Saccharomyces cerevisiae S288C: one gene and its partner. The protein of the gene in region 2 purifies or fractionates together with the protein of the main gene of each other region. This does not show direct contact. Each region holds a gene or a part of one and is shown on either strand. Other genes may lie near its edges.

Region 1 (4,542 bases), on a different chromosome or scaffold from region 2:
CAGTATAATTAAGTCTACAAATGAAGAGAAATTTAGAAACAGATTTTTTGGCACAAAGGCAATGAGACTTAGAGATGAAGTATCAGGTAATAATTTATACGTATACTACATCGAGACCAAGAAGAACATTGCTGATGTGATGACAAAACCTCTTCCGATAAAAACATTTAAACTATTAACTAACAAATGGATTCATTAGATCTATTACATTATGGGTGGTATGTTGGAATAGAAATCAACTATCATCTACTAACTAGTATTTACATTACTAGTATATTATCATATACGGTGTTAGAAGATGACGCAAATGATGAGAAATAGTCATCTAAATTAGTGGAAGCTGAAACGCAAGGATTGATAATGTAATAGGATCAATGAATATAAACATATAAAACGGAATGAGGAATAATCGTAATATTAGTATGTAGAAATATAGATTCCATTTTGAGGATTCCTATATCCTCGAGGAGAACTTCTAGTATATTCTGTATACCTAATATTATAGCCTTTATCAACAATGGAATCCCAACAATTATCTCAACATTCACCCATTTCTCAGAACCAACTATCTTCGATCAATTTGTATTAAAACTGCTAGCATATTATCATATATGATGTAAAAAGACGACATAAAGGTCGAGTAACAATCATCCGATATAACGGAAGCTGAAATCCGAGGATCGATAATATAGCATAATTACTTGTATGAACGATGCTAAAATATTTGTTCCTTCACATCTACACGTGGAAGTAAATGAACTGGATGTCAACAGTTTAGAAGAGCTTTTTTTTCGGTTCTGGTAAACATTCAATAAACTGTTTTGCTCCCACTAAATATAAATAAACATAATTATATGTCTAGTGATAAACAACTACTTTCCCGCTGAATGCATCAAAATATCAATGCAAATTTAAAAATTGTATTACACATATGTATGCTTCTGAAAAACCTTATAAATACATAAATTCTGAGAAAATAATTATACATGACTGATTCCCAGCTTAACCAAATCCAGCCCATTCTATTGAGAAGAAATGAGTTTCCTTTGTCTCTTCCGCAACACCGCCTATGACCCAAAGTTTTTTCACAGTCGTTCCTAGTCTTGCACCACTTATCATGGATATTAGGTCAATCGGCTCATTATGATAATCAATCGCATCTTGTATCGTCAGATGTGAATGGAAACGAAGAGGATCACCAGGGTATGCTATAAACTTCCCACCAAAACGTCCACCTGGGGACAAAACGTACCCTTGATCTCTCAATGCCTTGTATAAGAAATAGGTCTGCATTTTTCCTGCCTGTCTGTACTGCTTAAATAACAAATCACTGATATCATCGCGGGATAAGCTGTCTGAATCACTCCGTATGTCTCTTAAAATCATAGAGGTATTAGCAATGTCAATGAACAAAGAAGATTCAATTAGCTGGTCATTATTGCTAGATTTATCAAGCCGTTGCAATTCTTCAGCTGTGGTTTTATCATTGATTCTACCGATTTTCTTTAATTTTGCAATGTGTTCATCCTTTTTGAACTTTCTCTGATATTCAAATGACTTGTTCAAACGATCGTTGACAATTTTAGATAGTTTGGCGCCCCGCTCTAATGTTATTCCCTCCATAATCTCATCTCCCTCTTGTCTTATTAATTTCACATCGGCAAGATTGTTCAAATGCAGCCACAGCACATCTTCTAACATAAGCCTCAAAGGTACCGACAAAAATACATTTTGCTGTGCTGCAGTAGGCAAAGTTCCAGATAACACACCACAAATACCCCATTTCCTTAGAAGTTTGATGTGATCTATGTCAAATACTAGCGGTGGCATAAAAACCTCCTCGCCTTTTGCCGTTCTTTTTGCATATATGTTAATAGCTATGCGCGTACCACCTTCTTCAGCCATATACGAAAGGATCTATGCTAATTGGGTGGATTTCTTATCGCATCACTTTCTTATTCTCTAACTCTTCTTCGCTGCTCAATAAAATATCTCTGCTTGGAAAAATGTCACGCGTAAAAATTAGACGAGGCGACAAAAGACGCGTGAACTAACATAAAGGTTTACTTGAACAAATGTTATCACTTTAAGTTCTACACGTAAAACAAAAACTATTCACTCTTCTTATTACGGTAAAGGCGAAACCAGCAAGAAGACCAGATTATACTTACAAGAGATGAGCAGTGTTCAACTTTCGAGGGGCGATTTTCATAGCATCTTCACCAATAAGCAAAGGTACGATAATCCCACCGGTGGCGTTTATCAAGTTTATAACACCAGGAAATCTGATGGGGCTAACAGCAACAGAAAGAATTTGATCATGATTTCCGATGGTATTTACCATATGAAGGCTCTGTTGAGAAACCAAGCTGCATCCAAGTTCCAGTCAATGGAACTACAAAGGGGTGATATCATTCGCGTGATAATTGCAGAACCTGCTATTGTCAGGGAAAGAAAGAAATACGTTCTTTTAGTAGATGACTTTGAGTTGGTCCAGTCGCGTGCTGATATGGTCAACCAAACTAGTACTTTTTTGGATAACTATTTCTCAGAGCATCCAAATGAAACCTTAAAAGACGAAGATATAACTGACAGTGGTAATGTTGCCAATCAAACAAACGCCAGCAATGCTGGTGTCCCTGATATGCTGCATTCAAACTCAAACTTGAATGCAAATGAGAGAAAATTCGCCAATGAAAACCCTAATTCGCAAAAAACCAGACCAATTTTTGCCATCGAACAACTGTCTCCATACCAAAACGTTTGGACTATCAAAGCAAGAGTTTCCTACAAGGGAGAAATTAAAACGTGGCACAATCAAAGAGGTGATGGTAAACTATTCAATGTCAACTTCTTGGATACCTCTGGAGAAATCCGAGCCACGGCGTTTAATGATTTTGCTACAAAATTTAACGAAATTTTACAAGAAGGCAAAGTATACTATGTATCAAAGGCAAAACTCCAACCAGCTAAGCCCCAATTTACTAATCTAACACACCCTTATGAACTGAATTTGGATAGAGACACTGTTATAGAAGAATGTTTCGATGAAAGTAATGTTCCGAAAACCCATTTCAATTTCATCAAACTAGATGCTATTCAGAACCAGGAAGTAAATTCCAACGTAGACGTCCTCGGTATTATCCAAACTATAAACCCACATTTTGAGCTAACTTCAAGGGCTGGGAAGAAATTCGATCGTCGTGACATCACAATTGTTGACGACTCTGGGTTTTCTATCTCTGTTGGCCTATGGAATCAGCAAGCCCTTGATTTCAACCTTCCTGAAGGTTCTGTTGCTGCCATTAAAGGTGTTCGTGTGACGGATTTTGGTGGCAAATCTTTGTCTATGGGATTTTCTAGTACCCTGATTCCGAATCCAGAAATTCCTGAGGCATATGCCTTAAAGGGTTGGTATGATTCCAAGGGCCGCAACGCAAACTTCATCACTTTAAAGCAAGAACCCGGTATGGGTGGTCAATCGGCTGCTAGCTTAACAAAATTCATTGCTCAGCGTATTACTATTGCTAGAGCTCAAGCTGAAAATCTAGGAAGAAGCGAGAAAGGTGACTTTTTTAGTGTTAAAGCTGCTATAAGTTTCTTAAAAGTTGATAATTTTGCATATCCTGCCTGTTCTAATGAGAATTGTAATAAGAAAGTTCTGGAACAGCCTGATGGTACTTGGAGATGTGAGAAGTGCGACACCAATAATGCAAGGCCAAATTGGAGATACATCTTGACAATATCAATTATTGACGAAACCAATCAACTATGGCTCACTTTATTTGACGACCAAGCTAAACAATTATTGGGTGTTGATGCTAATACATTAATGTCTTTGAAGGAAGAAGACCCCAACGAATTCACAAAAATTACTCAAAGTATCCAAATGAACGAATATGACTTTAGGATTAGAGCGCGTGAGGATACATACAATGATCAAAGCAGAATTAGATATACCGTTGCTAACCTACACAGCTTGAATTACAGGGCTGAAGCCGACTATCTTGCCGATGAGTTATCCAAGGCTTTGTTAGCTTAATGTATCAAATAATCAAGTACTATTTAATCTATGTAACATATGAGAAATGTAAAAAAAAAACTTCTATTTCGTCAAGTTTTTGAAGGGCGGTTCAGCATCTCTTGATGACTGGATATGAAACTACACGTTCAGTCATATGAATTTGAACCCATAATGCACAAATGAATAAAAATGCTAACAAATTCTAATTAATGGCATGGTACTAACACCCAACAATTTACCGCCCTTTAGGTGTACAGCTTCAAATAACAAAGCTTTACAAATTCACCTTCAACATTTACGTTCAGTAGTATGAAATTACCATCATGACGTGCTCCTATCAAAGTGAGATTATTGCACTTCGTATTATTAGGAAATTACCAAAAAATGCAAAATTTTTCAATTCTGTGTCAAAGAAATCGCGGTAGGCATGACTATACCTCTTCAGTGTCAGTTGCCTATTTAAACTTTCTCCTTTTGAAGAGAAACCTATGATGACTGCATCTTAATTATCCTCGTAT
Region 2 (6,383 bases):
TGGGTAAAGTCGATGGTAAAATCATATGTTTCGTAGGACCCCCAGGTGTTGGTAAAACGTCCATAGGTAAATCTATCGCTAGAGCTCTTAACAGGAAATTCTTCCGATTTTCTGTAGGCGGTATGACGGACGTGGCAGAAATAAAAGGTCATAGGAGAACGTATATTGGTGCCTTACCTGGCAGAGTAGTTCAAGCATTAAAGAAGTGCCAAACTCAAAATCCTTTGATTTTGATAGATGAAATCGATAAGATTGGACACGGCGGCATACACGGCGATCCGTCCGCGGCATTGTTAGAAGTATTGGACCCTGAACAAAACAACAGCTTCTTGGATAACTACTTGGATATTCCTATTGACTTATCAAAAGTGCTTTTCGTTTGCACTGCTAACTCTTTGGAAACTATTCCAAGACCTTTACTGGATCGTATGGAAGTCATTGAGTTGACAGGATATGTTGCTGAAGACAAGGTTAAGATTGCCGAGCAGTATTTAGTTCCAAGTGCCAAGAAAAGCGCTGGTCTAGAAAACTCTCATGTTGATATGACAGAAGATGCAATAACAGCGTTAATGAAGTACTACTGTAGAGAAAGTGGTGTAAGGAATTTGAAAAAACACATCGAGAAAATATACCGTAAAGCAGCCCTACAAGTGGTAAAGAAGTTGAGTATTGAAGATTCCCCAACGTCATCAGCCGACAGCAAGCCTAAAGAAAGCGTTTCTTCCGAAGAAAAGGCGGAAAATAACGCCAAAAGCTCATCGGAGAAGACTAAGGACAATAATTCGGAAAAGACAAGCGATGACATTGAAGCCTTAAAGACCTCTGAAAAGATCAATGTTTCCATATCCCAGAAAAACCTAAAAGATTACGTTGGGCCTCCAGTCTACACTACAGACCGGTTATACGAAACAACTCCACCAGGGGTAGTTATGGGGTTGGCGTGGACTAATATGGGAGGTTGCTCACTTTATGTAGAATCTGTCCTTGAACAACCTTTACACAACTGCAAGCATCCAACATTTGAAAGGACCGGGCAACTGGGAGATGTTATGAAGGAATCATCAAGGCTTGCTTATTCATTCGCCAAGATGTATTTAGCACAAAAATTCCCTGAGAACAGATTTTTTGAAAAGGCGTCTATCCACTTGCATTGTCCTGAAGGTGCTACCCCTAAAGATGGTCCATCTGCAGGTGTCACTATGGCCACTTCCTTCCTTTCCCTAGCATTGAATAAGTCGATTGACCCAACGGTTGCGATGACCGGTGAATTGACACTTACCGGTAAAGTTTTACGTATCGGTGGGTTGAGAGAAAAAGCTGTGGCCGCTAAAAGATCTGGTGCCAAGACTATTATTTTCCCTAAAGATAACTTAAATGATTGGGAGGAACTTCCAGACAATGTAAAGGAAGGGTTGGAACCTTTAGCTGCTGATTGGTATAATGATATATTCCAAAAATTATTCAAGGATGTGAATACGAAAGAAGGTAATTCAGTATGGAAGGCTGAATTTGAGATTTTGGATGCTAAAAAGGAAAAGGACTAACTTTTCATCTAAATGGATTAAATACCTGTTTAAACATTCTGTAAATATTTAAACATAAACATCAATTTTATTACACAATACTAAATTCTTTCTTTTCTTCGTGAAGTATGTATGTGGGAAACCCAAGATGGCGGAATCGCGTGTAATATTATTTATCATATGCCTTTTTTAGGAAATCTAATTACTTACCGAAGAAAATAGGACAACGAAAAATTTCGAGAAACGAAACCAGAAAGTAAATGGTGAATATCCTATAATCTACACATTTTGGTACAGTTTACTTAATAATACTCCACACACCTCTTTGCCTCTTTTCTAAGAAGTATAACACAACTACAATATAAGTGATGTCTGATAATAGAAGACGTAGACGTGAGGAAGATGATTCGGACTCAGAAAATGAGCTACCGCCATCCTCACCTCAGCAACATTTTAGAGGGGGGATGAACCCAGTTTCATCACCTATTGGTTCTCCAGATATGATTAACCCTGAAGGTGACGATAATGAAGTTGACGATGTACCAGATATTGATGAAGTTGAAGAACAAATGAACGAAGTAGATTTGATGGACGATAATATGTATGAGGATTATGCGGCTGATCATAATAGAGATAGATATGATCCAGATCAAGTTGACGACAGGGAACAACAAGAACTATCTTTAAGCGAACGTCGCCGCATTGATGCTCAACTAAATGAAAGAGATAGGCTATTGAGAAATGTTGCCTACATAGATGACGAGGACGAAGAACAAGAAGGTGCAGCGCAACTTGATGAAATGGGCCTTCCTGTGCAAAGACGAAGAAGGAGAAGGCAGTATGAGGACTTAGAGAATAGTGATGACGATCTATTGAGTGACATGGACATTGACCCATTAAGAGAAGAACTTACTTTAGAATCTCTGAGTAACGTTAAGGCTAACAGTTACTCGGAATGGATAACACAACCTAATGTCTCAAGAACTATTGCCAGAGAGTTAAAATCATTCCTGCTGGAATATACAGATGAAACGGGTCGTTCTGTATATGGTGCACGTATTAGAACATTAGGTGAAATGAATTCTGAATCTTTGGAGGTTAATTATAGACACTTAGCGGAGTCCAAAGCCATCCTGGCACTATTTTTAGCTAAATGTCCAGAAGAAATGTTGAAAATATTCGATCTCGTGGCTATGGAGGCAACAGAATTGCATTACCCAGATTATGCCCGTATTCACTCCGAAATTCACGTAAGAATCTCTGATTTTCCAACAATATACAGTTTACGTGAATTGCGTGAGTCTAATTTGTCCTCTCTAGTACGCGTCACTGGGGTGGTGACAAGAAGAACAGGAGTCTTCCCTCAATTAAAATATGTCAAATTCAATTGTTTGAAATGTGGCTCCATTTTGGGCCCATTTTTTCAAGATTCTAATGAAGAAATTAGAATCTCATTCTGTACAAACTGCAAATCAAAAGGTCCCTTTAGAGTCAATGGAGAAAAAACTGTGTACCGAAATTATCAAAGGGTTACGCTCCAGGAAGCTCCCGGAACCGTTCCTCCAGGCCGTCTACCAAGACATAGAGAAGTCATTTTGTTGGCGGATTTGGTAGATGTATCCAAGCCAGGTGAAGAGGTAGAAGTTACCGGCATCTACAAAAATAACTACGATGGTAACTTGAATGCAAAGAACGGATTCCCCGTTTTTGCAACAATTATCGAGGCAAATTCTATAAAAAGAAGAGAGGGCAATACAGCTAACGAAGGCGAAGAAGGGTTGGATGTTTTCAGTTGGACTGAAGAAGAAGAACGTGAATTTAGAAAGATTTCTAGGGATCGTGGTATAATTGATAAAATTATATCATCGATGGCACCGTCTATCTATGGTCATAGAGATATTAAAACTGCAGTCGCGTGCTCATTATTTGGAGGTGTTCCAAAAAACGTCAATGGAAAACATTCTATTCGTGGTGATATCAATGTGTTATTATTAGGTGATCCAGGTACTGCCAAATCTCAAATCTTAAAATACGTCGAGAAAACAGCGCATAGAGCGGTCTTTGCAACTGGTCAGGGTGCTTCGGCTGTCGGTCTGACAGCATCCGTCAGAAAAGATCCTATTACTAAAGAATGGACCTTAGAAGGGGGGGCGCTAGTATTGGCTGATAAGGGTGTTTGTTTAATTGATGAATTCGATAAGATGAACGATCAGGATCGTACATCTATTCATGAGGCTATGGAACAGCAAAGTATTTCCATTTCCAAGGCCGGTATTGTTACTACATTACAAGCGCGCTGCTCAATTATTGCTGCGGCAAATCCTAATGGTGGTAGATATAATTCAACCTTGCCTTTAGCTCAGAATGTTAGTTTGACCGAGCCTATTCTGTCTAGATTTGATATTTTATGTGTTGTCAGAGACCTTGTTGATGAAGAGGCAGACGAAAGATTGGCCACATTTGTTGTCGATTCTCATGTAAGATCTCATCCAGAAAACGATGAAGATCGAGAAGGCGAAGAGCTTAAAAATAATGGCGAATCGGCGATAGAACAAGGAGAAGATGAAATAAATGAGCAGCTTAATGCAAGGCAAAGAAGACTTCAAAGACAAAGGAAGAAGGAGGAAGAGATCTCGCCTATTCCACAGGAATTATTGATGAAATATATTCACTATGCGAGGACAAAAATATACCCTAAATTGCATCAGATGGATATGGATAAGGTTAGCAGGGTATATGCGGATTTGAGAAGAGAAAGTATTTCTACAGGTTCGTTTCCAATCACAGTTCGTCATTTAGAATCTATTCTAAGAATTGCAGAATCTTTTGCTAAAATGAGATTATCTGAATTTGTGTCTTCTTATGATTTGGATAGAGCTATCAAAGTTGTAGTTGATTCCTTTGTTGATGCCCAAAAAGTCAGTGTTCGCCGCCAACTCCGCAGGTCTTTCGCAATTTATACCTTGGGTCACTAAAACTTTGTTATTCCTACGAATATCTGGATATGAAGATAAAAAATTCTCTGTCTCAATCCATGTATTGGCAATCCTATTTTCAATATACAAGTTTCCTTTATTTTTTGTATAATTTTTATACACTGTATCTTTAATTTCAATTCAACTAAATACTCAAGATCTAGTCAAAAGTGCATTATTTACTATCCAAAAAAAAAAAAAAAAATGAAGTAAAAAAGAAGTAACAAGACCGAATAAAAAAGGCTCATTACTGAAGTATTATATTCTTATTTTTGCCTTTTAATAATATACATTTACTTTACAGTGGAGGGGATAAGAAACATGATAACTATCAATTAGCAGCGCTAGGAGCTTCAGTAGAGGTTCCGGTAGTAGTTTCTGCGGGAGATTCAGTCGTTTCTTTTTCTTTTTCTTTTTCTTCAGCGCTTGGAGTAGCCTTGGCATTCGCATCAATACCAAAGATCCTATATAATAGCTCATGAGTATCTTCTTTACAAACCATCAAATTGATACACTTGTTGCCTTTCCACACAGGCAAGAATAAGTTTTCTTTGGCAGGGTCATTTCTTGACACATCAATAAAGGCGCAACCAGAGCTTAATTTTGTCATCTTTTCAACAAAATCATTATCGATGTTCTTCGAACGAATGTCGTCAAAGTTAGGGAAAGATTCGATTAACAAGTGTTTTAACATCTCTAAATTAGCTTCAACAATTCTATTAGATTTCATATGGTGTTTCATTATTGGCAATGATTCACTTTGGATTCTCCATGAACATTCGATATCACTTCTTTGAGAGACAAACAATTTTACACCAGAATAAATAATCTTCAACCTATCGTCATTCGCTTGAATAACATCCTTCAATGCTGGACACACAGTGTAAACCACTCTTGTTGGTTCACCAGTGGCGTTACGCACTAAACAAGTGTTTCTGTCGAAAATATTATCGATGCCGTAGAAATCCCAACAAACTTTTAAAGCTTCGTGCTGTGGATCAACGAAAACAAAAGGCTCTTCGTTCGCGTCACGTGGTAGTCTTTCTTTCTTTTGGACTTCTTCTACCTTTATTTTCTTTGTTTGAGGTCCTTCAGACTCTAGAGCTGGGGTTTCAGAAGATAGTTTCTCTGTAGCCGCCTCAGTGCTATCTTCGACTTTTTCGAAAACAGTAATGAAAAATCCGCCTGTGTTTTGTTGGTGAGGATAAACCCTCATACAATTTTGTAAATTGAATTTCGATGCCTCTTCTTCAGATGGTGAAAAGAAACTATCTAGTGTACCTTCGTCTCCTTTGGTTTTCTCAGTCAAATTTCTGTCATAGACAGGCCATTTGGATACACCCTTGGATCTTATTAGGCCAGGAAGCTTATCATCACAGTTAACTAATCTAATCTTGTCACCCCACTTTCTTAACGCTTCGGCAACAACCGCTTCATTTTCAATAGGATTTAAAGAACAGGTTGAGTAAACCAATCTACCGTTGTTCTTTAGAAGATGCAAACCCCTGTTTAATATATTCAGCTGAACAGCATGCAAACCAAGACCTGCTTGTGTGTTCCAGTCTTTCCAAACATTAACATTTTTCCTCATGGTACCATCACCAGAACATGGAACGTCACACAGGATTCTGTCAAATTTTAAAACATCATTCTTGTTATTTGAGTTGCCATGTAATCTGATACGTGGGAAGAATTGGGCGTCATGGTTGACAACCATCAAGTTGGCACTGTTCAATCTCTTCAATTGGTGAACCAACATATGAGATCTTCTGGCATCGGCATCATTAGCTACAACGAAACCAGATGGTTCATCTGTATCCTTGTGCAAGGCTTCGATTAATTGAGCAGTTTTGGAGCCAGGAGCAGCACACATATCTAAAACAGT

The links. The genes of interacting proteins can lie anywhere in the genome.
Region 1: the proteins of MCM2 (region 2) and RFA1 purify together in Saccharomyces cerevisiae (affinity purification with western blotting; 4 studies listed by BioGRID). This does not show direct contact.

What each region holds. Positions count from the first base shown.
Region 1 is NC_001133.9:156,254-160,795, reverse strand, and holds RFA1 (replication factor A subunit protein RFA1), read left to right. Parts: upstream 1-2,176; coding exon 2,177-4,042; downstream 4,043-4,542. Other genes in the region: YAR009C (truncated gag-pol fusion protein), read left to right, coding at 1-199; tRNA splicing endonuclease subunit SEN34, read right to left, coding at 1,003-1,830; COMPASS subunit protein SWD1, read right to left, coding at 4,511-4,542. UniProt on the Saccharomyces cerevisiae protein: As part of the replication protein A (RPA/RP-A), a single-stranded DNA-binding heterotrimeric complex, may play an essential role in DNA replication, recombination and repair.
Region 2 is NC_001134.8:173,035-179,417, reverse strand, and holds MCM2 (MCM DNA helicase complex subunit MCM2), read left to right. Parts: upstream 1-1,891; coding exon 1,892-4,498; downstream 4,499-6,383. Other genes in the region: ATP-dependent Lon protease PIM1, read left to right, coding at 1-1,544; NCL1 (tRNA (cytosine-C5-)-methyltransferase), read right to left, coding at 4,830-6,383. UniProt on the Saccharomyces cerevisiae protein: Acts as a component of the MCM2-7 complex (MCM complex) which is the putative replicative helicase essential for 'once per cell cycle' DNA replication initiation and elongation in eukaryotic cells.